Ovis aries: one gene and its partner. The protein of the gene in region 2 purifies or fractionates together with the protein of the main gene of each other region. This does not show direct contact. Links are inferred from orthologs where the notes say so. Each region holds a gene or a part of one and is shown on either strand. Other genes may lie near its edges.

Evidence for each region.
Region 1: the proteins of HSPB1 (region 2) and G6PD fractionate together in Homo sapiens (co-fractionation; 3 studies listed by BioGRID and IntAct, with this or other methods). This does not show direct contact. The link is inferred for Ovis aries from reciprocal best matches to the Homo sapiens genes HSPB1 and G6PD.

What each region holds. Positions count from the first base shown.
Region 1 is NC_056080.1:79,912,271-79,927,956, reverse strand, and holds the start of G6PD (glucose-6-phosphate 1-dehydrogenase), read right to left. Parts: upstream 9,664-15,686; 5' UTR 9,631-9,663; exon of another isoform or gene 9,516-9,630; 5' UTR 9,277-9,515; coding exon 9,165-9,276; intron 9,030-9,164; exon of another isoform or gene 8,968-9,029; coding exon of another isoform or gene 8,886-8,967; intron 8,526-8,885; coding exon 8,439-8,525; intron 8,307-8,438; coding exon 8,179-8,306; intron 6,017-8,178; exon of another isoform or gene 5,212-6,016; intron 4,896-5,211; exon of another isoform or gene 4,803-4,895; intron 1,774-4,802; coding exon 1,684-1,773; intron 1,105-1,683; coding exon 1,067-1,104; intron 986-1,066; coding exon 877-985; intron 443-876; coding exon 225-442; intron 1-224. Other genes in the region: IKBKG (NF-kappa-B essential modulator), read left to right, coding at 13,367-13,517, 15,283-15,506. UniProt on the Homo sapiens protein: Catalyzes the rate-limiting step of the oxidative pentose-phosphate pathway, which represents a route for the dissimilation of carbohydrates besides glycolysis.
Region 2 is NC_056077.1:34,780,682-34,795,608, reverse strand, and holds HSPB1 (heat shock protein beta-1), read right to left. Parts: upstream 6,526-14,927; 5' UTR 6,476-6,525; coding exon 6,124-6,475; intron 5,393-6,123; coding exon 5,329-5,392; intron 5,231-5,328; coding exon 5,041-5,230; 3' UTR 4,916-5,040; downstream 1-4,915. UniProt on the Homo sapiens protein: Small heat shock protein which functions as a molecular chaperone probably maintaining denatured proteins in a folding-competent state. Plays a role in stress resistance and actin organization.

The DNA of each region.
Region 1 (15,686 bases), on a different chromosome or scaffold from region 2:
GATGGTATATACGGGTGCGAGCACTTTCGGGCAACTTCCAGAGAACGGAAATTGCCCATTCTCTGCAGACTGAATTCATGGAAGTAACAAACCAGGGGCATCTATCTTTTTCAGATTCCCTAGACCGGTTGGCCCTGGGGGCTCTGCTCAGCTTGCTAGGGCAGGTCACACGAGGGTAGGGCACTCCCTGAAGGCAGGAAGGGAGGGAGAAAGACCAGCCTTACGTCTGGCTCATGCAGGTCTCGTGGATGTTTTTGGTGACAGCCTCATAGACAGTTGGGGGCAAGGCCAGGTAGAAGAGGCGGTTGGTCTGTGTGCCCCGGTGAAGGGCATTTATGTGGCTGTTGAGGCGCTCGTAGGAGGCAGTGTCATCGTACTGGCCAGCCACGTAGGAGTTGCGGGCAAAGAACTCCTCCAGCTTGGACTTCTCCTCCGGGGTAGCCTGGGCAACATGGACACAAACATTTTGGCCCCCTGCCCTTGTTCTCCTATGAGCCCATAGGCAGAGCAGGCTTCCTGAGGGGTCAGCCATCTTAGCCTCTCACTGGGGTCACTCACAGCTCTAGCACACCCACGGGGGTGGGGGCCTCAATGCTGTAAGACAGAAGCCGGAGTCCAGCAAACTGGGATCTGGGAGAAAGCTCTCTCTCCAAAGCCATGCCACCTACGTACCATGTGTTGAGAGAAGGCAGGCATCTCCATGTTAGAGAGGTCACAGGGTACAGTAGGAAGGAAGTGGTAAGCCCAAGTCACAGGGGGCTGGGAGGTGCCAGGGAGGGGGTGGCCTGGCATAGGAGGGGCGGGACGAAGGGCCTCTGTGATGGGATGAGGTGGTGGTGGTGTCTGCCACCTGCCGAGACCCCAGAAACCACTCACTTTGAAGAAGGGCTCACTCTGCTTGCGGATGTCAGCCACTGTGAGGCGGGAGCGGGCATAGCCCACGATGTAGGTGTCTTCGGGCAAAAGGCCGTCCCGGAACAGCCACCTGAGGGCAGAGGCAAGGCAATGGCTGTGGCATGGGCAAGGGGGCACGGGGCCACAGGGGGCGGTGGGGACACAGGCTTACCAGATGGTGGGGTAGATCTTCTTCTTGGCCAGGTCCCCCTGCGACAGAGAAACAGGCGTGGTTACGAGCTGAGGACACGCCCCAGATCACCCCCACGGGGGAGACCTGTGCACATTTGTCCTGCCCCCTGTGTATAGACTGAGCCGCTTGAACTGGGGCCCAGTCTAGCCCTTGACCCTGGCCTGGAGTGCCCGCACATTGCTGGGGGGCACCCTAAGGGAAAGAGACCTCACGCTGGCCAGGATGTACTCCATTAACCCGCTGGTCCCACGAGCCACAGACTCGTCTTGTGGTTGAATGGGCAAAACCAAAGCCAACACAAGAAGCCCGCTTTTAAAGAGCTCATGGGCTAAAGAAAACCCTAGACTCACTGGAACTGAATGGCATTGGAAGTAGCACGCGACAAAACTGAGGCATGACTTTAAATGCTTATGTTAGCAAAAAAAAGAATGGCTCGAAGCTGATGAACTCAGCACTCAGCTGAAAAAGTTCGAAAAAGGACCATCCATCGTTGCTCGGTTGTGTCTGACTCTTTGCGACCCCACGGACTGCAGCCTGTCAGGCTCTATTGTCCATGGAATGCTCCAGGCAAGAATACTGGAGTGGGTAGCCGTTACCTCCTCCAGGAGATCTTCCTGGCTCAGGGATTGAACCCGAGTCTCCTGCATTGCAGGCAGATTCTTTACTACTGAGCCACCAGGGAAGCCCTAGAAAAAGGACAGCAGAATTTAAAAGCCAAACAAATCACAAGGCAGGAAACACTGCAAAGTAAAAATGAATAAAATGGAAAACAAGCCAAAAGAAGAGCTCAACAAAGCCCCATCTTGGTATTTGAAAAAGACTAATTAATTCAAACAGTCCCCTGGGAAAGACTGCTTTTTAAAAAGGCACCAAGAATCACGGGGGCAGTGGGACAAAACTACTGACAGGAAAGACCACAGAGGGTTTTGTGAATGACCTTATCCCACATCTGATAAGTTACATGAAATGGACACTTTTCTGGAAAATTCCAACATACCACAATGGAGTGAGTGACCTGGGGAGGCAATGGTCATTAAGGAGACAGGATGGCGTTCACACCCTTCCCAGCAAGCCCAGCCTGGCCCCTGACAATTGTCCCTGACAGAGACAGCTCTGCCAACAGGTCTCACAAAATGCCACGGAGACTTCCATTTGGGGAGTGTTTGCCAAGCCACGTGGTGGCCCCAGGACCCTGCAGCCAGAGTCTGAGAAATGCGCACAGGTGGTCCCGAGCCTGTCTCATCCATGAACACAGATACAAGTGCAAACAATTCTGCAGGAGATACCAGCAAACCCAACCCTGCAACGTCAAACATGGAGTATGTCCAAACTAAGTTGGGATCATCCTGCAAGTGAAAGCTTGGTTTGATATTGAAAAGAAAAAAATCATTAATATTCACTACATGAACAGATTAGAGGAAAAAAGCTCTAAGCCATGTGTCTACTCCTTTAGAGTTTTTAATCTAGGTACCTTGTTAAAACTCACCAGATGAAGATTAAATGTTCCAAAAAATTTCAACACCTAGCACGATAGGACCTCTTCCCAGACTAGGCATAAAACGGGACTTGCTCACCTTGCTAAGCAGACCCTGTTAAAAGCTCCACAAACATCATATACTGTAGGGAAAGGTTGAAATAATCCTCTTTCAACAACCAGGAACAAGAAAAGAGGGCCTGTCTTCGGCTCTTTACTCAACACCCCACCAGAAGCCCCGCCAGCAGCAGGCAGAGAACAAGACACACGACAAGGTGGGGAAGGAAGTGTCATGCAGGCCTGGTCTCTAGCTGACCACCTGTCCATTTAAAAAAGGAAAACCACTTAAAACCAAGCTTTATGCAAATTATTACAATTAATAATATTTTAGGTTTGAAAAAGTTAATAGATGGGGAGTAGAGACAGATTTCTTAGCTAGGACACAGAGCGCAGTAACTAGAAAATGGATGAATGAAGGCTTGAGCAAAATTAGAAACTCCTGGTCATCATAAGACACTATTAAGAAGATGAATTGGGGAAAAAAAACAAGATGAATAGATAAGCCACAGACTGGGAGAAAACACTCACCAGATGTAGTATCTGGAGTATATAGCCCACTTCCCTCGATATTGTGATATGTGTTAAATGCCACTGGTTAGTACACTTGAACGTGGTTAAAAAGGTCAATCAAAAAGAAAAAAAAACCACTCTACAACAAAACAAGAAAAGAATTCAAGATTGGTAAAGGCTTGACCACATACTTCACAACAAGAAAAATCAATGGTTACTTAACACACAGGAAAGTGGTCAAGATGACCAGTTGTCACAAAAATACAAATTAGACCACAATGAGATCCAGCTTGACCTTCACCAGTAGGTTGTAATCTGAAAAAACTAACCCCATCTGGTGTTGGAGGTGGTGTGGAGGAAACACTTGCACCAGGGTTCACAGCAGCCATAATTCCCAACAGCCCTGAGCTGGGACACAGTGAAAGGCCATCAACAGGGGATGGACAAGCTGGATATCTACACAGTGGGACACCTACTCAGCAACACCAAGGGATGAGCCAGGGGGATTCCCTGGTGGTCCAGTAGTTAGGACTCCACCACAGGGGTTTGCGGGTTTGATCCCTGGTAGGGGAACTAAGATCCTGCAAGCCACGCAGGGGGCAAGAACAAAGATTACAAACCAAGAAAAAAGGGATGAGCCAGTGGCCTACTCAACACAAGCAATTCTCAGAACCAGAATGCTGGACACACAAGGCTCAACACCCTGAGTTCATTTAAGGGAAGCTTTAGAAAAGGCAAAGCAGCCACAGTGACAGAAGTGAGAGTCCACAGCAGGAGGTGGACTGGCTGGGGAGTTGGAAACGTTGCCTCTGGTTATAAAGGTCAGAACCGATTGGACAGAGAAGATGTCTTTCGATGTGTACGAATGTTGCCTACAAATAAAAAGACTGAAAAGAACAACTGAGCAGACGGCGGGCGGTGCTTGCTGTTGACCATGTGAAACTTTCCAAGATAATGGCAAGTGTGTGAAGACAGCAACTGTGAGCAACAACATTGTCATCCCACGAAGTCACCCAGTCCCTTCTCTCCAGGCCGGTTTAGCTGCCATAGCCACGGCTACCTGCTTGCTTTTGGTGACCTGACAAAGGAATTCTCCACTCTGGGTGGAAGAGGTGGTGAGCCTGGGCATGGCCTGGGTGAAGAGCAGGTGCCCTTTTATGCCCCCTGCCCTGTCATCAGTGAGGGCTGCTGGGCAGAGCTGCTAGACTCGCCCCGGGCAGGAAAATCACCTCCAGGGGTGAGGACCTGAGTCTTCAGGGCAAAATGACCCTTTAAGAGTCATGTCAGCACTGGACGCAGTCACATCTGTGGACTGTTGCAGAGAGGAGCCGCAGGACCAGAACCGATTGCAATCTGCACCCCTAGACGGGCCATGAGGACGGTAGTTGGGGAGCTACCAGGTGGGTGAGTCCTCCCCTGGCTGGGGGCGATGGGGGCCACTTTTGAGGCTAGCATGCTCAATCCCCATTTGTGGCTTCACCCTCTGTCTCCTGGGCTGAGCCAACATCTGCACGTGGACAAGTCTGCTCCGGCCCAGGTCTTGGCTAGTGCCCAGCCCACACGGGCCAGTGTCTCTCCGCCACCTCCGGGCTCTAGCGGAACCTGGAGTGCTCCAGTGGGTGGTTCCCAAACCAGGGTGCCCTGTGTTGCAGCCCCCGCCCCCTGTCTGCCAGCCACTTAGAACTGATTGCTGAAGGCTCTGGAGCAGGGCCCCCTCCTGCCGGCCACCTTCCCTGGGAAGCCTGGAGATAACAGCGCCTCAAGGTCAGTCACTGATCCCTGGCTGGGGTCTCCCTGGAGCCCAGCTGCAACCCCTGTGGCCCCTCTCCTCCCAGTGCCCAGCAGTGCCCGCTTTCCGCTGACCCCTCCTGTTGCGGGGCTCCAGCAGGAGAAGCCATCAGTCCCCTGTCGGCGGGCACCTCCTGGCCCAGAGGAATGTTTGCTTCCGGTCAAATTCCAGTGGGTTAGTGTCCTGTCTGCTGAGTCACGGTGCCCTACACCCGACTGCCCTCACCGGTCCATTTGGGATTAGCAAGGGGTGGAACCTGCTCGCCTTGTTCAGCTCAGCCCTGCCACCAGCGGCCTGAGTCACTCACCCAAGGGAGGAGTGAGGTAGGACCCAGACGGGGGTGGGGGCACAGAGGCCTAGGAGGCCCCCCTACCCAGCAGCCTGGGCCTGGTTGCACTGCTGGAGGTAACATGGGCTGAGAGCACAGTGCTCGTGGGGTCTGGAGGAGTCTGGGGCCACGTGGTGACTTAGCAGCAGGAGCAGGGCCTGCTGCAGATTTCCAGCCACCTGCATCTGGCCTGCCAGCACCCTGATCTTATCTCAAGTCTCCAGTTTGATGAGCCCTTGGTCTCGAAGGGTGTTAGGGTGGAGCACGTGACAGTAGAAGTTGGGAGGCCGGGCAGGGGTGGGCTCTATCCCCCTCGAGGCAAGATCTGCCTGGCCTCCCTCCTGGGCCGCGGGGCTCATGACTCATCAGCCCTTTGGGGGAGCGCCAGAGTCACCGTGACACAGCAGGAATCTTATCGCCCCAGGAGGTGAGGCGGCCCAGAAGCACCCCCTGAGGAGAGAGGGCCCGGGTCCTCCAGCTCAGCCCTGGCAGGACCCCGTCTCTGGGCTGGGCCCTGGAGCACTCATCGAGCCCATGGCCCAGATGGGGAAACTGAGGCCCAAAGGCAAAGACCGCCCTGCAGAACCTGCACTGAGCCACTTCTGCCCGAGGGGGCTCCTCGGCCTGATCTTTCTCTCATCTCAATCGCTCTGTTTCCATTGGGGGTTAGAGTGGCTCCAGCCTGGCAGGCCCAGGGTTCCTCTCTCAACACTGGTCTGGAAGGAGAAACGGGGTTCCTGGGTTCCAGAGGCCTCCAGACCAGGTCCTGTAAGTACGTCCACTGCCCTCCTACTGAGGGTGGGAGTCTGGAGGAGGGAGTAGGGAGCGGCTGCAGCTACAAGGCCATCAGGTAACTCCTCAGGCTGGCCTTCGGACGGGGCGGAACCTGGGCGCGTGGGTGCGGGGTTGGGCAAAGCCGGCAGGGAGGAGAGGGGCGGAAGACAGCTCATCCTTTTTGGAGTCGCAGGCTCCGCTCCGAGGCCCTGGCTCTGCGGACCTTGGCGCCTCCCAAGGCCTGGGGTGTGAAGGCCTGGCAGTGTTTGCTGTCACATGCACTCACCTTCAGGCCCAGCCCCCAGGCACGGCTCCCACAGTGGGGGGGTGGGGGGGCCTCAGGGCAGGTGCCTGCTGTGCTGTGAACTCCTTGGTCTCCCAGAGTAACAGGTTTGTGCCGCCTGCCTGCCTCCCACATATCCCAGCAGGAAGGGGAGAAACAAAACAACAGAAAAAACAGGCTCTACTTCAGAGGCCCTGGTACTCCCCCACCCCCCGCCCTGCTGGCTGCAGCTGGCACTTCCTCTTTCTGCCCTAGAAGCCTCTGCTGATTGCTCTTGGAACAGAGAAGAGCAAAGGGGAACTACTCGGGTTGCAAAGAAACAATGTTGCCCAATGCCAAGGCCACCACACGTGAAGGCAGGGAGGAGTCACCAAATCAGCTCAGCAGAACCCTGGGGCCCCTTGGTGCTCCAAAGACTTCCATTGCCAAGTGGAGACTGTGGGGTTGAGAGAGGAGGAGACACTTGGCCCAGGCCACAGAACACACTTGGATGCTCTCACTGAGGTGGTTTAATCGGAGTTGAGGATCTAGGGTCATAGGCAATTTACTAAGGCTGGGGACCCTCTGCTGGAATGTCTTGGGACAGGCTGGGATGGGGATGGGGGAAGGAGGAAAAATAATCCTGAGTAACTTTCTCTGTCAACCTATTTCTTGGACCAACTCCGAGGTGTTAAGCTTTCTGGTGCCTCGAGGGATGAGGCTGGGGCCAGGGTGGGGGCTAAGCTGCCCCCTGTGTGCCCCTCCTGGGCATCCTACAGTCTTGGGGTGATAAGACGGTCAGGGGAGAGTTTCGGGCAGCCTTCCCTTCCTTCCCAGCAGCACAGCCCTCCTCGCGCGCAAAGCCCCCTGCCCTGCATTCTGGCTCTTTTTCCAAGTTTTGACCAGAATCACACAACTGGCAAGAAACACGTTCTGCAAAGGGCGGTAGCTTGTTATGATACATGAATGAAGAGCTGAATTCCTCTAGAGCTGAGGGGAGAGGGGTGTGGAAGGGACAGAGAGACCATGCCTGCCCTGTCAAGAGCTCACTCGCTTGGCAGAACTCTCGCTTCAGGTTTATACAGTAAGTCACCACCAGAGATGCTCGTAATCCTGGGGAGCGGATTCTTGGTCCCGTCCAGGATGAAGAGTTTCCCTTTGAGATGAAACGTAGACAGCGTTCCAGCCGTTTCTCATGTCTTGCCACTGGGTTGATCTTATTTCCACGTGGCACATGGAGAAAGTGCTTTTAGTTGGGGGGGCCGGTCATGGCTCTCCAAGGACCCACCCACCCTCTCGTGTTCCACCCCCTCCCAACATGTATGGTCAGCACGCTCTGTTTCTGCCTTTGCTTCTAGTCTCTGGCCTTTCTCATCACAGCAAAGTGGCAGTTCCACTGGCTGGACAATGGGGCTGGTCTCAGCTCCTCGGGAGGCCTTGGAAGTCGGGGCAAAGAGATGGGGTTTCAAGAAGGGTCAAGTGTGTGTCTTTGGGGACCGTGAGGGTAGACAGACAAGGTCGAGATCGGGCCCTGGATCCTACCTCTGGCACTGACTGTGTGACATCTGTCAAGTCAGAAACATGTTTGGAAAACACCCTTCTGGAATGGACTGCTTCCCCTGTTTACCTCTCTGTCTCCCCTGTGGAGGAGGAAGTCCAACCAGACAGTCCCGAAGGGCCTCCCAGCTCCAGACAGAGGTCTACACTCAATGGCTACACACGGACTTCAGAAATGCCTCATGGTGTGTGTATACTGGGTGGTAACAGGTTGACAGCGGCTCCTGAGCAGGGGCAAGAGCCCAAGGGGCCCAACTGCGAGCAGTTGGGAAAGCACAGGCACCGTGAGGTCCCTTCTGCTGCGTTTAAGCTGTGGGGCTTGGTAGGGGAGACTCACCGATGCACCCATGATGATAAAGATGTGCGTATCAGCCTGATGGAAGTCATCACCCTGGTACAGCTCTTCTCGCAGGATCCCGCACACCTGGGTCCGGCTCAGAGCCACCTGCTCTGCCATGGCGCTCTCTAGTGAAAGAAAAACTCAGTTGACAAGGCAGGAGCTGAGAGGAGCACTGAGAAGCTAGCCCCTTTCTGGAGGAGTCCTTTGGGCTCTCCTCCAGCAGATGTTTCATTACTGAAACCATTGACTGTGAATACCTGGGGAGCAGGATGTTCGGGAAATTAGAAACTGCTGGCCCTGGGCTCCGGCCATCCTCTCTGGGCAACCTTCTTCTCTGTTGTATACTACAAAATGACCCAAAACATTACTGGATTCTTACTAGGGCCTCAGCTCTGGGGCGACTGAGTAAAACGCCGCTGGCGCAGCGTACGATCTGCCTAAGACCATGTCACCCAGGATGCAGGCAGAAATTCCACAATGAGCTGGAGCGTGCGAGGTAGTGCAGCCGATGGGAGTGTCGCTCCAGCCCTCCTCCTGCCACGCTGGGCAGACCCCCAGCAAGTCCCTGGCCCTCTCCGTCTCCTCGGGGGGTCCCATGAGGGCAACGCAGGGTACCAGATTGGTTAGGCCCTCTGGATTTTGCCCCGTTCTTAAGTTTGGGCAATCAAAGTGCCTCGTAGCGCCGCGACCGCCCACTCGGTTACCTGTGCTTCGTTGCTCTCGCCCGTCACACTCGCAGACCCCAAGTCCCCGGCCGTTTCCCCGGGCTGAGCCCCGCCGGCCCATTTAACCGGCGGGGGCGGGAGCCTGGGCTGAGCTGACCGGCCTCAGGCGAGATACGGGGGTGTGGCCTCCGCGGGCCCCTCCCTCGTGGGGCGGGGAAGGTCGAGGGCGCGGGCAGGTGCGTGCGCATCCCGGCCAGGCCGGGCCCCCCCACCCCACCGTGGAGGCCCCAGCCCTGGCCCGCCCTGCCCCTCGAGCACCTGCGCCGGCCGCTGAGCCGCGGGCCGCCTGCTGTCTCGGCTGCGGCTGTGCCGTGTCCCCGCTACCTCGCGAGTCCGCCTGCAGCTCCCCGCAGCTCGCCCGTGTCCCCATCCCTGGCCCGACCCCGCCCCTAGAGTCCGGCTGTCGGCGCAGGGCCCCGGGGAGGTTCTGCGTGCTCGCGCGGGCCTCCACTTCCGCCAGCTGCTTGACCCTGTCCTTCGACCCTGTTGGTGGGTGGGGTCTTCTGCAGCTCCGTCTCCTCGCCAGACCGGTCGCCGGAGCAGGTCAAATCAGCCCTATCAGATGACAGCCTCGTTGTGGTTCCAACCCTAGCGGGAAGGGGGACGGCCCTGCCGGAGAGACAAGGGGGAATGCAGGTCGCGACGCTAATTACTGGGGAATGCCCCGCCGGCCAACCGAGGCTTGGTGGGTTCAGGTTTCCGCTTTGGGCAGCCTCTCTCTCACCTTCCGCCGGCCGGCCAGGCAGGGGCGGGACCTGAGCATTTTACTTCCGGATCCGACAGCTTAGACACCGGAAGCCGGAAGTGAGAAGTTGGCAGAGGGAGAAGGGAAGGGCTACAGCGGAACTCGGACTTTCTCGGAGCGCCGGGGGTCCGAGGAACGCCCGGGGCCCGCCGTTCCCGCCCTTCTCACGTCGGACCGACTGAGCTGACAGGTGTGGCCCTCTTCTGAAGACAGGGTACCATCGGTGGGCGTTCTGCCGCCTCCGAAATCCCCTCCCCGGATGACCAGGCTTCCCCCTCCTGTTCGGTCCAGCCGGGTTCTGCTGCGCACTTCCAGAGCACCGGCGGAGGCAGGCCGATTGAGGACTCAGGTTACTTTGGCGGCGAGCGGGTTTGTTTCCGCCTCTCTTTCCTCCGCCAGCGCCGAGTCTGACCACACCCCTAGTTTGTGAATGACTCTTCTAGGTCGGAGACATTTTCTGTTCATCATCTGTGCATTTCAGGTTAAAGTTCTTTAAGAAGGCGTTAAATATGACTTGCCAGCTAAGTATCTCACCTCATGTGCATCATTTTGCTTCTTTGCAAAACGATGAATGTCTCCTGGACCTCGTATCATTTCTGTGACTTGAGGATGAATGGGCCATCCTGACATGTTAGAGGAACTCAGTAACGAAGCCGCTATACCTGGAGTAGAGTGAGCGAGGGAATGCTTAGAGTGGGAGCCGGTTTGATTCCTGGGTCGGGAAGATCCGCTGGAGAAGGGATAGGCTACCCACTCAAGTATTCTTGGGCTTCCCTGGTGGCTCAGCTGGTAAAGAATCCGCTTGCAATGTGGGAGACCTGGGTTCGATCCTTGGGTTGGGAAGATCCCCTGGAGAAGGGAAAGGCTACCCACTCCAGTATTCTGGCCTGGAGAATTCCATGGACTGTACAGTCCATGGGGTCGCAAAGATTTGGACACAGCTGAGCGAGTTTCACTTTAATGGGAGAACAGATAGGGCACGGCCTTGTAGGTAGTGGTAGGGACTTTAGGTTTTAAGCTATCGGCAATGAGGAACCATGGTAGGGATCCCAGCAGAGGAGGGATGTGATCAGAATCACCTTTCAGGCTGACTGGTCTGGCGCGGTGGGGAGAACTGACTATGGGGGCGGCACGTGTAGGAGCCGGGTGACTTTTAGGAGGTTATTACAATAATTACCTGAATAGTGATGTTGCTCTTATCATTTTATTGTGTAAAATTTCAAAGGCATAGAAAAGTATAATAGTCTAGTAAATTCAATGTACTCACTTCCCAGCTTCAACAGTTACCAACTCGTGGATATTTTTAATTCATACTCCTCAAAAACAGCTTCGTTGACATATAATTCACATACCTCGCAAATCACCCATTTAAAGTATACAGTTCACTGGTTTTTCAGTGCATTCACAGACTTGCACAACTATCACCATTAATTCCAGAACATTTTCATCACTCCAAAAAGAGACCCCATGAACTTCAGCCATCACTCTCACCACCCCATCTACCCCTGCTCTAAGCATCCACTAGTCTTTCTGTCTATGTATTTACCTATTCTGGACATTTCATGTAAATGGAGTCATAATATGTGGTCTTTTGTGAGTTGTTTCTTTTTATTAACATAATGTTGCAGCATGGGAATGTACTAGATTTTGTCTATTCATCAGTTGATAAACATCTGGGTCATTTTCACTGTGGCTGTTTGGAGTAATGCTGCTACCAACATTCCTGTGCAGACATGAGTTTTCATTTCTTTCAGGTAGATACCTAGCAGTTCACCCATTATTTAGAACCAAGTCCCAGACGCCATGTGATTTCTTTCAATAAAAGTTCCATGTGGATCTCTAAGAAATGACTTTGAAAGAAACATAGCCACACCAGCACTGTCACATGTAAAATAGTACCATTACCTGCTAAGTGTCATCAAATAGATTCTAAGATACATCTTGACAGGATTTCCTGATGAATCCGACGTGAGCTGTGAGACAGATGGGAATCAAGAAAGACTTGAAGGTTTTGTCCTGCCAGCTAGAGCATGGGTTAGCCATCTATTGGTAACAAGGAAGGCCATGAATGGAACTGGCCTCTGGGGATGATCAGGAGTGTAGTTTACCGAGGTTAGTTTTGAAAGGATGACTGGATATCCAAGTGGAGATCTGGCATTTGATGTGTGAGTTGGGCGTTCAGGAAAGAGTTCTGATTTGGGGCATCATTAGCATTAAGATGAGGGCTACAGTTTTGAGTCTGGATGGAATTAGTACTGGAGTGACTGAAATTAGAGAAAAAGTCCCAGAACAGAGCCCTAGGGCATGACCACATGAAGGGCTGGGTTAATGAGGATGGACCAATGAAAGCCTGAGAGAGAGCAGCCAGTGAGGTAGGTGGGAAACCAGTAGAGTGGGCTGTTCTGGAATCAGGGATCAGTGATCCATTAGATACTGCTAATGGGTTAGTAGGGTGTTCAGTGAAGCATCAGTGTAATAGTGAAATGTCCAAGCTCGTCTGGTGTTCAAGCCTCTGGCTGCAGCTCAGGCCCTACTGGAAACTTCTTTTGTGATTAGCTTCCTCTTCATGTAGCCAGTCTTGGGCAGGCCTTAAAAGGGCTCCAGGTTGATGCTGTCTGGCGTAGACTCCCTCTCTCTACTCCAGGTCACAAGAGAACACAAATGGCTCAGCCTTTCTCTGCCTCCCTGCCTTCATCTGTGAGCCCAGGCCCTGCTTTCAGATGTCTCAGTACACGTCAAACGTGGGATGATCCACTTTAGCCCTTCTGTTCCAAAGAACACTCACCAGGCTCTGAGTGATCTCTGTGAAGACCCTCTTACTTGGTGTATGGATTTCCTAGGGTTGCTGTAAGAGATAGCCACAAGTGGGGGCGGGGGTTTAAAACAACGGAAGTTTATCCTTTCCTGGCTCTGGAGACCAACAGCCTGAGGTCAAGGTGTTGGTAAGGCTGTGCTTCCTTCGAGGGCTCCAGGGCAGGGTCCTCTGGGCTTTGTCCAGCTTGTGGGGGCTTCAGGTGTCCCTGGGCTTGTGACCACATCCCTCCTGTCTCTGCCTGTATTTTCATGTGGCATCTCCTCTGTGTCTCTCCTCTTCTGTGTCTCATAAGGACACTTTTAGGGCCTTTCTCATCCAGGATTATCTTATCTCCAGATCCTTGATTTTATCGCATCTGCAAAGATCCTTTTCCGCAGTTTACAGTCACAGGTTCTGGGTGTCATAAGGTATTTAATAAGGTATGTCACATGGACATACCTTATTGGGGGTTATCATTCAACTCACTGTACTACGTGAGGGGCCACTCACCTCCACTCATGCTTGGAAGTGTGTGTGTGTAGGGTAGGATTCCCAGCATACCGACACATCCCTCCAAAACTAATTTTCTATGTTATTTCTCCTCTCTGGTGATGTTCTTAACTTCAGCTTACAGTTTACAAGCAGTGCTGAACCATGACCTTTCCAAGCCCCACAGAAGTGCCTGCACCTCCCTTAGGAATGGGACTATGTGCTACCTCTTAGACCAGAAAGCCCATGTTAGCATCTCTTTCCACTTGCCAGCATGCTCATCATTTTGCTTGAAGTGTGATGCCAGGACTCCTCGTCCTGCAGGGTAGGAGAATTCTGTATAGGTCTCTTCATATCCTACCCTTGCTAACTCTCTTTCAGGCCCTGACGTGTTGGATGAGCAGGCCCCCCTGAAAGAGTCCACTGTGTGAGATGGTGCAGCCGAGTGGTGGCCCGGCAGGGGACCAGGACATGCTAGGTGAAGAGTCTTCTCTGGGGAAGCCAGCCATGCTCCACATGCCTTCAGAGCAGGGCACCCCTGAGACCTTCCAGCGCTGTCTGGAGGAGAATCAAGAGCTCCGAGGTGAGGGCAACAGTGGGCGGGCAGCGTCAAATGTCTGGGGAGCAGGCCCTGCTGGGGGAATTGACCCCACTTACCCAGTGCCTCTGCGTTTTCTGGGACTGAGGTGGGCAGGCGCTCGAGAGCCAGTTTGTGGCTCTGGGTCAGCTAGCCTCCTTCCTTCATTTCCTGTGGGGTTCTCTGGAAGTGACTCACAGCTACAGAGTGCCATCCAGAATGTTTAGAGTCAGGACCAACACTGGGGAGGGGAGGGGATGGGAAGGGAAGGGCAGGGCAGTGAAGAAGAAGGGGTGGGCAGAGGGAGAAGCTGGGCTGCCCTCCCTCCAAGGAGCTCTGGAGCTGAGGTGACCTTTTTGGGTTGTCCCTGTCGGGCCAAGGCCGCCAGGCTCCTGTGTCTCCGTACTGATCAGCCATTGTTGTCATTCAGTCACTCAGTCGTGTGTCTGACTCTCTGTGACCCCATGGACAGAAGCATCAAACAATATACTGGAAAGGGGCGTGGCTACCCGAGGAAGGGCGTGGCTATTTAAGGGGCGTGGCCTGCTCCAGAAAGGGGTGTAGTCTGCTCTGGGCTAGGCTGGGGCTTCCTAGGAAGGGCCCGTGGGTGGCTTTGGGGAAGGGACATCTGGGCCACTGTGGGTGGACTGTCAATCGTCCCCCCTCCAGGTAAGACAACCAACAATATCCCCCAGGTGTCGTTAAATATGTTTCTGTGTTGGGGCCACATTGAGCTGGCAGCCAAGTTTGGGGCAGGGAGACAGTTCGCTCTCCACAGCTACATATGTGGTCTGAGCTCATCCCCAGGACAGTGGGGGCTGGTGGGGGCACCGTGGGCCTGAGGCAGAAAGCCCTGTCTCAGATCAGTCGCTCCCTTGTAGGGCTGGAGTCTTATGGGGACTGTGGTACGTAAAAGGAGGCTCTGGAGCCAGGCTCAGGAGCCATTGTGGTTCTAGCGAAAGAATGTTCCATCAGAAGGCCTATTTAGCTCATTGGGGGTTCTGAACAGAGAGGGGGCCTCCTCTAATCTAGTTCTGTGGTGGTTAGCACCTTCACAGGCCATGGATCCGTTTTGTCAGTACCAGTGGTGAGCTGCTGCTTGGCGGTGTCCCTGGGTGGGTGGCTCTCCTTTCCTCAGCCCTTGCTGACTGCCTGGGAAGAGGAGGACAAAGTGGTTCTTGAAGCTGTCTTGTGTACCAGGCACTTTGGCTGCTTTTCCATGTTACCCGTCCTGTCTCTGAGATGGGGATGCTTGTCCCCATTGAACGTGTACAAGAGGATGGTGAGGCTCAGAGAACTCGCCTGCTCCGAGACTTCTGGCCCTGCCCCCAAGACCCCCCTCAGTCTGGGGCCAGCAGAGCTCGGGGAAGTTTGCCCCCAGTCTGATCCTGAAGGCAGTGACCCAGGGGCCTGCTCTGACCCATGCAGAAGGCAGATGAGTTCCAGAGTCACTTACAAAGAACAAATAAACTGACATTTGACATTTTTTTTTTTTTTTTGGCCACACTGTGCGGCTTGTGGGACCTCAGTTCCCTGACCAGGAATTGAACCCGGGCCAGGGCAGTGAAAGCACTGGGTCCCAACCACGAGGCCACTAGGGACTCCCTGACATGTGTTTTTAAGTGAAGCTTTTGTGGACACTGGGGGTATGTCATTCGCGTAGCTGACTTTGAAAGTGATCGGCGAAACGAGGGAGTGTTGGGAAGACGTCCCAGTGGGGGAGTCCTCGGGGCGGTGGGGGGCCGCAGGCCCTGGGCTCATCTGGCCCCAGCTATCTCTGCAGACGCCATCCGCCAGAGCAACCAGATGCTGCGCGAGCGCTGTGAGGAGCTGCAGCGTTTCCAGGGCAACCAGAGGGAGGAGAAGGCCTTCCTCATGCAGAAGTTCCAGGAGGCCCGGGACTTGGTGGCGAGGCTGAGCCTAGAGAAGCGCGAACTGCGCCAGCAGAGGGAGCAGGCCCTACAGGAGGTGGAACGCCTGAAGACATGCCAGCAGGTAAGGACCTGGCTGCCTGCTTGGGGGCACCGGGGTGGGGGGCTCCCGGAGTTGGGGAAAGCTGTTGTCCTCCCAGTTACGGCATTAGGATGAGCAGCTGGCTGGGATATGGGTTGAAATCAGTAAAGATAAAGGAACGGAGGGCAAGTCCAGGAGAGACGGAGCCATGCATGAGAGTGT
Region 2 (14,927 bases):
CCAGGGGCCTTCTTAGATTTCCGTAGCCCTGGCTCTTTGGTTTTTAGCTGTTGTTTATCCATTTTTAATTTCCTGATTTAGGAGCAGACTATTGCCATGTTTTAAGGACCTCAAGATAGCAAAAGTCTAACCGTGAGGGGTTATTTTTTTGTAGAAGCAGAATGAACTTTGTCTACACGTACCATAATTTTAAATAATGTTTATTTACTTTAGCAAAGTAACACAAAGATTTTAAAAACAAATCTAAATCACTTAAAGGCAAAGAAATTAATAATTTGTTATCAAAAGCTGCATTCTAAGAAAACTTTGTTCTCTAAACAGAGAGAAGACCAAATTCCAGTCTGCTACCAGCTTACTGTTAATAACAAAATTTGTTTAATCTGCTTAATCTTAGAAAGTCTTCTCCATAAATCTTGAAGAACTAGCAGTATTTTTCCAAAGGCATGAGAGTAAAACCATAGAAGGCATGTTTAGAATCTGAGTCTATTGCGGTTGACAAAGAAACCTGGTCCTAACACTTTAATATGGTAACTAGAATTATAACTGACTATATTTTTTATCAGGGCATATCAGATCTATATGAATTTCACATAATTTTAGGATATCTATATTAGTAACATCAACCATACAGTATAAGATTTTTCACCCCTCTAACAGTACTTCCCACATAATTGAACATGTCCAGTGAACCCAGGTAGCTTAGTAGCTCTTTGGGATGTTTCAGGGGCCCTCTGAAGCATCCCAAAGTTAGCTAGAAATCAAGTTATTTAGGAAGTTTTTCAATAAATGTCAAAAGGGTTTATAACTATATTCAGTCAGGTAGGATCATATAAGTTACTGTGAAATAATACTTATTTACTTAGCCAAAGTTAACAAAAGATTTCAAAGGTAAATACAGAACAATTAAGAGGTAAAGAAACTTAAATCTATTATTAAAAGCAGTTCAACATCTGAAGAAAGTATGTCCTCTTAACAGAGAGAAAGGCCAAATTCAAGTTTTGCATCAGCTTACTTTAAACTCATTTAGGTAAACTTAATTAAATTTACTTTAAACTTAGTCCTAACTATGCACAAAACTTTTTTTAGGGTCCACTTTCCACAAACTTTTTAATTACTTTCTATAACAGCCATCTGTAAGTCAGAACTTTCCTTTTCCTTTATAAAATGTAATTTTATTTCTTATACCTTCTTTATTAAAACATACATCCTACATCCTTATTAGATTAGCAAACAAAACATTAATATTAGATATTTAATATTGAATATTTCCCAGTTCACATGAATCTGAAATCTGTTTAGGTTAACTTTTCTTGTATTTAGAATTGTTTGATTTGTAAGCGCTTTCTTTTCTTTAGGGCAATTAAATTAGAACTCATTTACAACTTCAACAATATTATCAGAAAAAAACAAAAGACATACACTGAGACATACATAAATCCAGACAGACAGAGATCTTATAGTTCTCAGTGTGAGATTTAAAATCTCTCTTTGACTCCTTTTTTCTTCTTTGCTTGAAGTTCTAATTTGCCCAAGGCCGAGGTCTCAGGCAAAGTGGGCTGTGTATTTCAAGGACATGGAAAGGGTTAACTTCAAGCTTTTTCCTAGGCAGGCCTTTTAACAAGCTAGTTATTTTTAATCGCATATGCAAAAAGAATTGGTTTTGCAGTTTCCAAGAAGCAAAATTTCTCTCTCTGTTCAATCAGCAATCACACACTCATAATCATTCAGAGGCTATCACAATGCCTCCCTTCTCCAGAGTCCCCAGGTTTCCTTAACTGTTGCTGCCTTCCTGGGAGCTCCAAGGAGGTTATCAGTCACAATGCCTTCCTTCCCCGGAGTCCTGTCAGGGCTTGGCTGTCCAGAGAGTCGGTCAGAACACTGGTCCGAAAGAGAACCCGGAATACCGTCAAGTGGCGTGCCTCCTGTTGGTCTCAGGGTTCCTTCGCTCTAGCCAGGCTGAGCCACCCACCAGTCCAGCGGCTCGAGGGGCTGGCGTGCTTGGAATCTCGCTGGGGCCTCCAGAAATGTTACAGAAACCAGTAATTGAGAAACCAAGCACCACACTCGGAGAGTTGGAGAACTCAGGTTTATTATGCCGGCGGGCCCAGAGGAGTTACCACTCCAAGCTCTGAGCCCCGAACAAAGGGGTTACAGAGTTTTTATAGACAGACTGTAGCGGGCAACACTAGCTGCTAATAGGCTGGTTTAAGGGAGGGGGATGCCTGACCTTTACACGGACAGGCATGATGAAGCAGGTTTGCAGGGGCTGAGCAATTGCGAAGAGCAGGACAAGGGTGAGTGAGATAAGGTGTAGCTCCTAGTAAAGTCCCCACGTTCTGGAGACTACGTGACCTACGTGATCCAGACTTTGCAAAAAGCCAGCTGAGTTACAGAGGCAGAAGGAACAGGAGGTGATGTAAAATTTTAACTTTTCCTCTTCAGGACCACCAGTGCGAGTGTGTGTGTGGTCGCTTCAGTCGTGTCTGACACTTTGCAACCCCACGGACTATAGCCTGCCAGGCTCCTCTGTCCATGGGATTCTAAAGGCAAGAATACTGGAGTGGGGTGCCATTCCCTCCTCCAGGGGATCTTCCCCACCCAGGGATGGGCCCATGTCTCCTGCATTGGCAGGCGGGTTCTTTACCACTAGCGCCACTGGGGAAGCCCGGTAGACCACCAAGGAAGTCCCAGATCCCACATCTTCTGAGCTGAGCTCAGGCATACACAGGACCAGCCCAGCCTCAGACTTCGGTCCTCCCTCTGCCCTGCTCCTGACGGTACGACCCAGGCAGCCTACTGAGCTTCCATCCCTGCTTCCTCATCACTTATTTTGGGTTTCCAACAGAGACCGCAGCCCCAATTCTTCACCTCCTATGGACCTCATACCCCAGCTGTGTCCTAGAGGACGGTCTGAGCCCCTAGACCTATATTCCAGTTGGAGCACTGACTGCACCCAGGCGCTGACCCCTGCCTGCCCCCGGCCATGGCCCTGGACTCTGGGTCTTCCTGAGAGCCGGCAGCTCTCTCCATTTTGCAGCCTGGCTGGCTTCCTTGAGTGGCCCTGGCCCCCAGGCTCACCTCCATCACCATCCGTCTCCTCCTGAGGCCCCATGGAGCCTCCCTGGGCTCAAGCTGTGGAGACCCCCGCCCCGGCCTGGGTCTTGAGCTCGTTTGCTCTCTGGTGCCTGTGGTCACTCAGATGGCCCTCCAGGACTACTGGGTGCACCCAGGAAGCTCTATTTTTTTTTAATAATTTTATTTATTTATGATTTGGCTGCACTGGGTCTTAGTTGTGGCACATGGGATCTAGTTCCCTGACCCCAGATTGAACCCCCTTCATTGGGAGCTTGGAGTTTTAGCCACTGGACCACCAGGGAAGTCCCAGGTCTCTTCACTTCTTTGAGGCTTTGCTGCCCAGTTGCCAAGCAGGAGTAATGGCACCTCTTCTCAGGGCTGGCCTGAGGATTACCTTGTCAAAGGTTTGGCACCAGCTCTGCCACACATCAAGGGCACCGGCGGAGGAGCTGGCAGCCTCGAGATCGCTCTTTCTGACCAGACAGGAGGACCCAGACACACCCGTGGAAGTCAGGTCCATCCTGTTGCCAGCTGCAAGGGCGCGAGCCAGCAGAGTGAGGGTGAGACGCAGACGGGCTGACTCTGGGTCATGGCCCAGCAAAGTGGAGGCGTCCAGGAGACACCTGAGATGTGGGGGGTGTGCATGTCAGGGAGGCGGGCGGAAGATTTAAGAGATCAGAGCTCAGGGAACCAGCGGTGGGAGGGTGGGTGGACTGGGCAGCGCCCGGGCCGACAGGTCCAGACCCGCGCTGCCAGCTGGGCCAGCACCACCCTTATTCCAGGTGTTTATTTCTCTGTGGGCCTCCCTCCAGGTTCGGCGGGGCCCTGGAGGGCTGGGACCTGCCTTGGCTTTACGCCTGCTCCAGATCATGGTGTCCGAACATGGAGCCTGCACCAGGGAGTAGAGACTGGGAAGCTGGGCAGCGTGCGGGGATATGGTTGTGGGTGGGTGCTCAAGGCCCTGCCCTGCAGGTGCTGCTCCTTTCAGGAACCCTGGCAAAGCCTGGCTGAGCAATCAGAACAGGGTCTGTCTTGGCCACAGCCCCAGGCTCTAGGACCTTGTTGGTGGAGAAGACTGTAAGGTCTCTCAAGACCTTGAGCAGTTCAGACTGAGCTCCAAAGCCTGCATCTTCTTCCTCCCTCCCCAAGGTCTTCCCAGACCCTCCTTCATCAGGGAGAGTGAGTGGGTAGGAGAGGGTGGTGGGGAGGGCAGAGACAAAGAAGAGGGCCAAGGCAGGCGTGGCCGTTCCTGGCAGGGACAGGCAAGGTAGGCCCTCCTGCGGCCACTACTTCCCACATCAGGTCTTTGCCTCTCTCTTCCACCAAAACCTAAGCCACACCTGCTCATCACTCTCTGCGGGGCACTCTCAGACCTGAGGACCCAGGTCCCGTGCTGCCTACATGGGCTGGGCTGGGGGAATCGCCCCTCAGAAAGCCGCCAGGGGTGGCCACACCTCCCCTCCAATCTACCTGGTCCAAACCCTCTACGATGAAGTCAGGAATCTGAGCTCCCAGGAAGCCCTCTCCCCCAGCCCTGCCCTGTCTTCCCTCACCTGCCCCCTTGCCCAGGTGGTTCCTGAGTGCCCAAGCCTGGGTCAAGTGCCTCTCATAATTTCCCCTGCTCCCCCTCCAGCCCTGGGCGTTTTAACTCCGGTGAACAATCACTGCTTCTCTCTTAATGAACAAGGGGTACAGGAGGGCAGGGCTGTGCCCAGTGACAGATGATACTGCACCCACAGGACCCAGCCTGGGGCTTGGTGCCCAGCGGGCCCTCAGCAAACATCAAACCAGCACCAACCCTTCTTCCTTCACAAAACCAGCAGGGTCTGAGGCAGTGGCGGGCAGTGGCTTCAAACTTTATTTGAGAAAAACAGAAGGCAAACGTATCAAAAGAACATAGAGGTTTGGCGGGTGAGGATGGTCAGTGATGGCTACTTGTGGGGTGGGCCGCTGGGCAAAGGGCCTTTACTTGTTTGCCGGCTGTTCGGACTTTCCGGCTTCGGGGCCGCCAAGCTGGGCACGCGCCTGGAAGGTGACGGGAATGGTGATCTCGGCAGACTGGGTAGCTGACTTGGGCAACGGGGCCTCCACGGTGAGTGTGCCCTCAGGGGACAGAGAGGAGGAGACCAGGGTGGGATCCACACCGGGGGGCAGCCTGGACGGGCAAAGAGGGTGGACAAGAGTTACACACCAGGGCGTCCCCGCGCGCCCCTCTCCCGCCCGCCGCCCCCCAGATCCGGAGCCAGGACTCACGTGTATTTGCGAGTGAAGCAACGGGAAATGTAGCCGTGCTCGTCCTGCCTTTCCTCGTGTTTGCCTGGGAGGAGGGGGAGGGGAAGTAGGTCAGAGGAGGCGGGGAGGGGCGGCCTAGCCGCTGGCTCGCAGCCCAGCGCGCCCCACCTGCGGGCCAGGACTCCGGGCTGGCAAGACTGACGGAGGGATCTGGGTGCCCGAGACTGTCCCGGGAACTCAGAAGCTTTGGGGAACTCAGAAGCTTTTGGAAAGTTCGGGTTCAGGGGCTTGGCGAGTGGGGGGTGGGGGTGGAAGCGCGGCTCGGGGCAGGCGCACACGCCCCCTCCGCGGACCCGGGCTGGGAGCAGGGACCGTGACGTGGGGGGCATGGGGGGCAGGGCGGCGAGGGCGACGCCCTCTTCATACCGACTGCGGGCCCGGGTGGGTGGGGCGTGGCGGGGGGGCCTGGTCCCTTGGGGGCCAGGTCCTCAGGTCCGAGGGCTGGGGTTGAGGGGAGTCTCCGCTGGAAGGGGGCGTTGCTTTCCTTAGTGGAGACTTTTTAGGGCTAAAAGATCCCTTAGGAACTCCAGCAAACCCCAACTCCAGAGAATACAGACCAGGGCTAGGGCGAAGAGGCCGGGCCCCGCTCTGGGGGCTCCCCGCCTTCCCCCCCACCGCCCGTCCTCGGCTAAGTTTTCACTTTCCAGCGGCCCCCTCTCCCGGCTCCCCGCCCATGTTTCAACCCAGAGCTCTTCCCCGGGACCCGCGAGAGGCGAGGGGCCGGCGTCCCTGGGGCGGGGGCCAGGGGGTGCTTACCAGTGATCTCCACCACGCCGTCCTTGGTCTTGACCGTCAGCTCCTCGGGGGCGAAGTGGTTGACGTCCAGGGACACGCGCCAGCGGTCGGCGGTCTGCTGGATCTCGGAGACCCCGCTGCTGAGCTGTCGGCTGAGCGCGCGGCTGTAGGCGGGACCCTCGATCGCTGCGGCGGGCAGCGGGCGCACGTAGCCCGGCCATCCGCTGTGGCTCAGCCACTGCGACCACTCCTCGGGCAGCCGGGGCAGCCCGAAGGCCTGGTCGAAGAGGCGGCTGTGGGCCGGATACCAGTCGCGGAAAGGGTCCCAGCTGGGGCCCCTTAGGAGCGAGAAGGGCACTCGGCGCTCGGCCATGCTGGCTAGTCTGGGTGCGTCCGGAGTAGGCTCGGAGAAGCGGGAGAAGTGGCGGGCGCCGGACCCCGTAGCGCTTTTATGGGTCTCCAGCCGGGTATTTTTAGCAGGCGGTGTTTCAGGTCTCTATTAATGGCAATGACGGGCCAGGGGGCAGCCCCTCCCCCTGCATTCCCCTCCACTGCATACCGGGGCGCGGGGCGGGGCGAGGAAGGCCCTGCCCACATCTGGAACCTTCTCTTGTTCGAGAAAACAAATGACTAGAGCCTCGATGTCGGAGCACTGCCCACTGCTGGACGCTCGGAGGCCTGGGTGCTAAAGCGCTGGGCCTCTATCTGTGGACAGTCGGGGAGGACAAAGCCGAGAGGGAGAGAGAGAAAGAGAGAAAGAGGTCGAGCAGTGAGTCCCAAGGGGAGAGAGAGAGGTCGAGCAGTGAGTCCCAGGGCGCACAACTAGGAACTGGCAGAGCGAGCCAGGATTTGGAAGGCAGTGTGTCTGTGATATAATGCCTTAAGAAGCAGCGTGGTTAGGGCGGTCTCGGGAGGTAGACCGCCTGAGTTCACATGCAGGTTCTGCCACTCACTGGATGAACTTGTGCAAGTTCAGAGTCTTTTGCCTCAGTTTCCCCATCGGGAAAATGGGATGATGGTGGTGATGATAATGCTTTCATCGCTAGGTTGGTTTGAAGATTCAGCCTCAATGCAAGTAAACATTTTAGTCCAGGGTACACGATAATGAATATATTATCTATATTTATATATAGATAATATATATAGATAATATATTATCTATAATTATTATTAGCCCCTGAAGTTGAAGGAGGGGGCAAGAAGGAAAGCATGTATGTGTCCCTGTTGCAGAGGCAATGGTATGTGTAGGTTTGGCCATTTGCCCACTGAACCCCAGTGGAGTAGACTCAGATCACAAACCTTGAGGGCCAGTACTGAGAAGGGGTCAGGAAGAAGGTTATGGTCAAGTCTCCCCATTATATCTAGTTTTCTGGAGGAGCCCTAGACAGGGGAACTTGAAATGCAGCAACCTTGAATCTAGTCAGGGCTTTGCTGTTTGTGTGATTTGGGCCAATGCTCCTTTCCCTGTTGGCAGGTTATTACCTCGATCCTGTTCTGTTGAATATTCCCGCAGACGGAGAGGGGGCAATTCCTTCAAACTTGCTTGGAGCCTGAGGCCGGCCCCTCCTCCGATCTGACCGCCTGTGAGATCCACGCCCCCACTACCCGCTCTGGGAAAAGATGCTGCCCCTAGCTTCCTGCCATAATCCTAACAATCTCTCTCTCCTGCCTTCCTTCTCCTGACATGTGTCCTGTATCCCTCCTTTTTCAATGAGGAAACAGGTTTGGAGATGAGGTGATGGGCCTACAGTCTCCCGTAAGCCACTAGCAGAGGAAGGCTCTCATCTCTAGTGCTCAGGGCTCTTCCCCTGGTCAAGCTCCCACCTTGGACTCCTCTTGTTTTCTCTTCTCCCGAGACACACTCTGCTTGCTGCCCCCCCCCCCCCCCCCCAGCCCCGACCCCCAAGGGTCTCAGCTTCAGGAAGCCCCAGGCCTTGGCTCCCTGGCACTCCCAGCTCCACCCAACCCAGCTCTTAATGTCAGGGTGAGGTCAGGAGCCAGGGAGGGCCCTCATCTGCTCCCTGCCTGCCCACCTCGGCCCAGACTGGAGCCCAGGTGCCCCACCCTCGCGGGAGCTGTCACATATAATCACAGATGCTTTCAAGTTCAGCCTAGCCACGCTCTGGGTGGGGGCTGCCTGCCTGGCCGCCAGTACCTTGTAGACAGAGGCTCCTTTCAGAGCTTCCTTCGATTTGCCTGAAACCAGGGTGGGGAGGTTCCATCCCTGTTGCCCCAGCCAGAGGAAGTTGTGCAACCCACAGGGGTGGCATAAGACAGAACTTTCATATCTTACTTTTTTTTTTCCCCCACACCACGAGACTTGTAGGATCATAGCTCCCCAACGAGGGGATTGAACCTGGGCCCTTGGCAGTGAAAGCGTGGAGTCCTAACCATTGGACCACCAGGGAATTCCCCACGTCCATCTTTGGTTGGTCACTTCTTGAGGGACTCTGATCAGAGCTGCCAATCACAAGGGAGGGGACCTGGGTGGCTCTAGGTGGTGGTAAGAGGGGGTGAGCGAGGGAGAAACTGGGTTTTGGGGTCAGACTGGGTGGGGTGTGAATCTGCTGCTGTTCACTGGCCTGCTGACCTCGTTGAGCCGGCAGATAACAACACACCCATCTTTCAGGGCTGTGCTGAATCTATAACATGATAACTCCAGCGAAGAGCCTGGTGCTCAGAAGTGTTCATTGTTATAATAACAAAGGAGGAAAGAGGGCCTTTAATCTTGGATACTGAGGCTTAGATTAATGAGAAATAACTGGGTGGATGCACTTTACAGCACACTCAAGAATCTTATCAGGGTCTTATTTTGGAGATGAGAAAACTGAGTCACAACTGGCCTAAGGTCACAAGGCTGGTGATGGGTGGAAGGATTGGAACCTGGGGCCTCCTGCCTCTCCGGCCTGGGAAGTCCATCCAGGGAGGGCTGTGGGCTGAGGGGTGCAGCCCAGGGTTACCTGTGGGACAGGGAGGGTGGGGCCGGCCTCTCTGGGTTCACTTCCAGCCCTGACCAAGCAGAGCACCCTTCTTCCAGGGGACTGAGCTGCCTGGGGTAGCTTTCTGGGGATTAAGGGGATAACTCCACCCCCAGGGATTTCCCAGATGCCAAGGGGTTGGGGAGCAGGTGGGCACTGCCGGGACTCCTTAATCATAGGGTCCCCTCCCTTCATCCCTAGCCTCAAAGTCTGGAGTACCCTGCAGCAGCCTAGAGACTAGCCTCCCAGCCTCCTGGCCCTGTGCCGGAGGCCTCAGCCGCATTAGCCACTCCCTTGGCAGGCCTTTGCCAACTGCGGCTGTTCCAGCCCCTCCTTCCCTTGGCCCAGCCTCAGAGAAAGCTCGAGAGTGTTCAGGCAGCTACCGGAGCTCCCAGGAGAGGCCTGACAGCTGATGAATTGCCAGTCGCTGGGCCTGCTGGGAACTAAAAATGTGGGCAGCCGTAATTAGAATGGGGGTGGGAGGCACTGGGTCTCTCTGGAAGCATCTAGATACTTCTCCTGCAGGAGTTCATTTCCACAAACCCAGCTCCTAACTGAGCCTTTGGCTTCTGGCTGGCCTGAGGGGTCACCTCATCTCCACCATCTCTGAAGTGGGGGGAGGGGCGCCAAGGAGGGGCCAGAGGGAGGGCTGGGGTTCCATCCTCTTCTTCCTGCCCTGCCACCAGCAACAAGAATCCGTCAGGCTTGGGAGTCTGGGGACGTCCATGTCTCTGACTGTGACCTTGGCCAGGGGCCGGTCTCTATGACTCATTTGCTTCATCTGTACAGTGAGACCATCGGACTGGATGTTCTCGAAGACTCCTTCCAGCACTGGTGAATCAACAGATTCTCCTCCACTCTCTCCCTCCCTCCCCCGCCCCGTCCTGCAGCCCCTCCCCCCCAGGGACGGGCATATGGTGAGAGGAGACAGAGGGGCCCAGAGGATGCTGAGACTCAGAATCCCTGGCGGGTAGTGGCCATTGGCGGTGGGAGCCCGGGTGGCTGGAGCACCCTCATGGGCTGGGTGTCCTGAAAATCCTTTCCCAGGTGGAGGGGAGCTTGGCAAGGGAAGGGCAGGTGCCTGGTGATGAAGCTGGTTTGCTGAATATGCCCTCAGCTAAAGAGAGGCTGGGGAGGAGGCCAGGGTGCTTCCAAGAGCGTTTCAGAGAGGCATGGGAGGGGGGTAGTCAGCTGGAACCCCCAAATTGGGCATGAACACTTGTGACCTGCTACGCTGGGTCTGGGGCTGTAGGAGACAAATTAAGTAAAGGGGGCGGATTTGCCAGGACACAGGAAAGCCTTGTCCAGCCTCCTGGCTGCTGTGTGTGTTGGGAGGGAGTGGACAGAGGGGTCCCTGAGGCCCCGCATGCAGAGGAGAGGACTACTATGCCCCAAATGCCACATCTTCCAAAGGTTCCCCCACCCCTGCCCCCATCTCCCCTCCTTGCTACCCGATATGGAATTCAAGTTTCCTGTTTTCCTGCCTGCCTTCCAGTGTTTTTCCCTTTTCCCAAGGTCAGAGCAGAAGAGTGCAGGCTCAACCCTCTGGGGGAGGGATGGCAGGGGAGCAGGAGGGGGTGGGGTACCTCCCTGTCCTTTTCAGGAGAACAGGTGCCAAGTATCCAGCGAAGTGCTGAGGACGAGAGCTTCGGGCTTTCAGGCTGACAGGGACCCTCCCCCAGGGATCTCGCCTCTCAGTCCTGGCCAGTTTTGTATCCCTTCTGGCCCGGGACCAACCTGCAGTTTTTTCCCTTCTCTCTGTCGCCCTCTAGGGGTCTTCTTGCTGCCACCTCGCCGTTTGTCGCCACCCTCCCCTACAGTGGCCGAACCCCTCATTTCTCAGTTCCCTTGTTCACCCCTCTACTCATTCAACAAACATCGCAAGGGTGCCTGTTTGGGGGATGCCAAGATAAGAAGGCATGGCCTGGGCTCCAGAAGCTCACAGATGTAGGGTGAGCGAGACACGCCAAGAAATAACTGCATCAACAGTTTGATGCTCTGGGACTTCCTTGGTGGCTCAGAGTTAAAGAATCTGCCTCCTGATGCGAGGGACTCGGGTTTGATTCCTGGTCAGGGAATTAAGATCCCACGTGCCTCAGGGCACCTAAGCCTGCAAGTTGAAACTACTCAGCATAGACAGTCTCTGGGCTCTGCAACATGAGAAGTCCCCAAGGTGCAATGAGAAGCCTTAGCACTGGGGCTGGTGGACCGCAGATGGGGAGAGAGCAGAAATGAGCCGGTCATGTTGCACAGTCCAAGGTCAATGGGCAACACCCCCAGCACTGAGCAGGACATCCCTAGAGTGATGAGGAGGCTGCACTGAGTTTCAGCAACCCCTGTCGAACCCACAGGTGTTTCTGGATCAGATCACCCTCCATCCAAAGGTCCTGGTCACTCATCCCATTTTGCAGATGAGGAAAATGTGCAGGTCAGAGATGGGGGCTCTAGCCAAGATACAAGCTGGGAGCTGGCCTCGAGTCGGGGGTCTGGAGTACAGGGACCACCAGTAGAGGACTGAGCTCACAAGGCCGAGAGGGCACATGGTCCCCCAGCTAGTGGCTGGTGCAGCTGGGTGAGGGCACCCTGTCTGCCCTGGCCCTGCGTTCCCCCTGGGCTGTCACCTCCCCCCTGTGGTCAGCAGAACAGAGGCCCCCAAAGAAGTCCTATTGGAGAAGGAAATGGCAACCCACTCGAGTATTCTTGCCTGGAAAAGTCCATGGACAGAGGAGTCTCATGGGCTGCCGTCCATGGGGTCGCAAAGAGTCGGACGCAACTGAGTGACTAAACAATAACAGTGCCGCAGCAAAGACCCAGCGCTGCCAAAACCAAAAACCAAAAAGCCCAAATTGCCTGATGCCCTAAAGGCAGGGACAGACCAAGGCTGGAGGAAACCAGGGGGAGTGAGTGGCCACTGCAGCTGGCAATCAGGAAGTCTCCTTGGAGGAGGAGGCAGCTGAGCTGGACCTAAACCGGGAGCTCCTAGGGAACTGGAGGACAGGGCATGTGGGGGGCCGAGGGACCCTCCAGGGAGGAGGGTCTGCTGGATTCCAGGAAAGGGATGGGAGGATGGCAGTTTCAGGGGCCATTTGGAATGCCTTCCAAGCCCTATGCCTGGTAGACATGGTCCTGGGATCCTCGGGGTGGGGAGTTCTGCTTCATTAATTCCAGTACTGGGTCCTCAGAGCACACAGTAGGTGTTCAGTAAGCCTGTTGGGAGGAGTGAGGGAAAGGTCAGATTGGCATTTTAGATGTGGTGGGAGGGGCAGGCAGGGATAGAAGGGGCAGGCCAGCTAGTGAGGAGGTGGGCATGGGAGGCAGGGTGGTGGGGAGAGGCCAGGAGCCGGGGGTAGGGTAGAAAAGGGAGTGGTACTGCCTGGTCACAGCCTGGCTGTGGGGTGTGGACGAGGAAGGCTGGGCAGGGAGGGCAGGGAAGGGGGAAGGCAGAGGGGCAGGGGCAGCTGGGTGGGAGACAGGCTGGACTTGCGTGCTCACCTTCAGGCTGTTTCATGCCCCGCCTGCCCCCTCCAAAAGAGTGGCATCTCTAAAGTAGGACCAAGTCTGCTTTCCCTGTAGCCCCAACCCCTGCCTGAAGCCCAGTTCTTGCTGGACCGGTGTAAAGGGTTAAGGAGATCACCAGTGCTTCTTTGAACAGCTTCCTCAGATCAGAAACAGAGCCAGTGGCCAAAGGCCTCCTCAGGTGCCCCTTCCAGCCTGAGGGAAAAGAAACTAGAGAGGGGTCACGTGTGGACAGAGCCGTAGGCTTCAGAGCACGGCAACCCCTCCTCGGGTCTGCAGCCCAGACCAGACCCAGGGCATCTCCTGTGCGGGGCCCTAAAGGACTGCAGAATGTCTGAGATACCAGGCTGCCTGCAGATGCGGGCGTGATGGCCTCCTTTCAGATTCCCAAAGAGCAGCTGATTCAAAGCAAGGTTAGACTCTGTCACTCTAAGAGGAGAAGGAAGATGAGCAGAATGTGTGTGTTTAAATCTACATAAAAGAATCTGCCTGCCATAATGCGGGAGACCTGGGTTCGATCCCTGGGTTGGGAAGATCCCCTGGAGAAGGGAATGGCAATCCACTCCAGTATTCTATCCTGGAGAATCCATGGACAGAGGAGCCTGACGGGCTACAGTCCATGGGGTGGCAGAGTCGGACACGACTGAGTGACTAACACATACAAGTAAAAGAAATAAATACAATGTGAGTAGCTGTTAAAAACAACAGCAAAAAGCCACACCAAGCTCTCCCTTTTCAATCCCCATCCTAGCCTCCAGCCAGGGCTGGACACACAGTGTTTTCTGTAAGTGGCCACCCATGGGTGACTTGCTATATGGCAGGCAGGCCCTGTGCCAAGCACTTTCAGGACAATATCTCCCCTTTCGGCTTCCTCCCAGCCCCGAGTGGAGCCTGGATTCAGAGCCAGTGTTGTTCTGAGCTGTGTTCCAGCTGTTCTGAACATCCCACCTGTAAGGAAGGTCCTGCATGTGGACCCTGCTTCCCCATTCACTGCTGAAGTGAGGCCAGGTATTGGGGGGTCGGGGAAACAGGGGTGTTCAAAGCCCACAGGGCGGGTCTTCCCTGGTGGTAAAGTGGATGACACTCCATGCTCCCAATGCTGGGGGCCCAGGTTCCATCCCTGGTCAGGCTACTTAGATCCCACATGCCACAACTAAAATCCGGAGCAGCCAAATTAAAAAAAAAAAAAAAATTAAAAAAACAAAGCCCACAGGGCCTCCAGTCTGAGAGGAAGAAGGCCTTTTGGGGGCCCTGTTTTTCTCCCCACCGATCTGCAGACTCATGCATGGAAGCAAGAGGTGGAGGTGCTGCACCCTGGTTCCTCGGTGCCCGCTCTTCTCCTGGGTCCCTCTCATTTCTCAGAGGGAAGGACCCCAGGACCCCCCTTTCCCTCCCTGCACTCCCCAGGTACTCAAATCCACAGAGGCCTGGTCTCACCACCTGCCATCTGGGCTCCAAGTGTTTATTATTTAGAGTCCAATTTCTATCCGCACCGCGGAGAAGGAAGGGGAAATGGGGGGGGGGTGAGGTGGGGGGAGGAAACCCGGATCAGACCCCAGACCCCTCCCCCAACTGGAGCCCAGGGCATCTGCCCTGTTGGGCCAAGGAAGACTTTGTGAGATCCCTGAGGGCCCCGGGAGGAGGGGGCTGGGAGCAGCAGGAGAGGGCTGGGGGCTCACTGCTTCCCCATCCGTCCGTCCGTCCGTCCGTGCCCCAGGCCACCGCCCTCAATCTAGAGTCTACCCTTCCTTCAAAGGGCTGTAGCACCCCTCTCTGGGAGAGGAGGGACAAGTGCTCCCCCGGCTCCCTGCTCTCGTGGGCATGCCCTGGAGTGCACATTATCCTACGCCCGCGCCATCTGGCCCAGGTTCCAGCCACTGGGCACGCCGGGACTCCGGAGCCTGCTCAGTCCTCCCACTGCACTGCTTTCCCCCCGCAGGCTCCTCCTCTATCCCCCCTTCTCCCTTCCACCTCCTGACCGGGACCCCATTTGATCTCAGGGTCAGAGGCAGCTGGGGTCTGTAGGGCCCACCTTGGGTCACACAGACGGCCTGGCTGGTGAAGCCCTGGCCCAGAAGAGCACAGGGCAACGGCTGGAGGGGAGAGCCTGACCTGGAGAGGTGGGACCAAGGGTGAGCTCCCTGGGCCTGTGGGCTAAGGCTCAGGGCCCCCACCGAGTCTGGGCACTCTTGGGCCAGGGAAGGGGTTTGCGGAGGCCATGGGGCCAGCCTCTAGCCTGCAGCTAGGGTCCTCCTGCAGCCAGCTCAGAAGGAAGGGGTTCCCCAGCCTGGAGGGTGGTGCACCAAGGGTTAGGCCGTTCCTCCTTCTGTC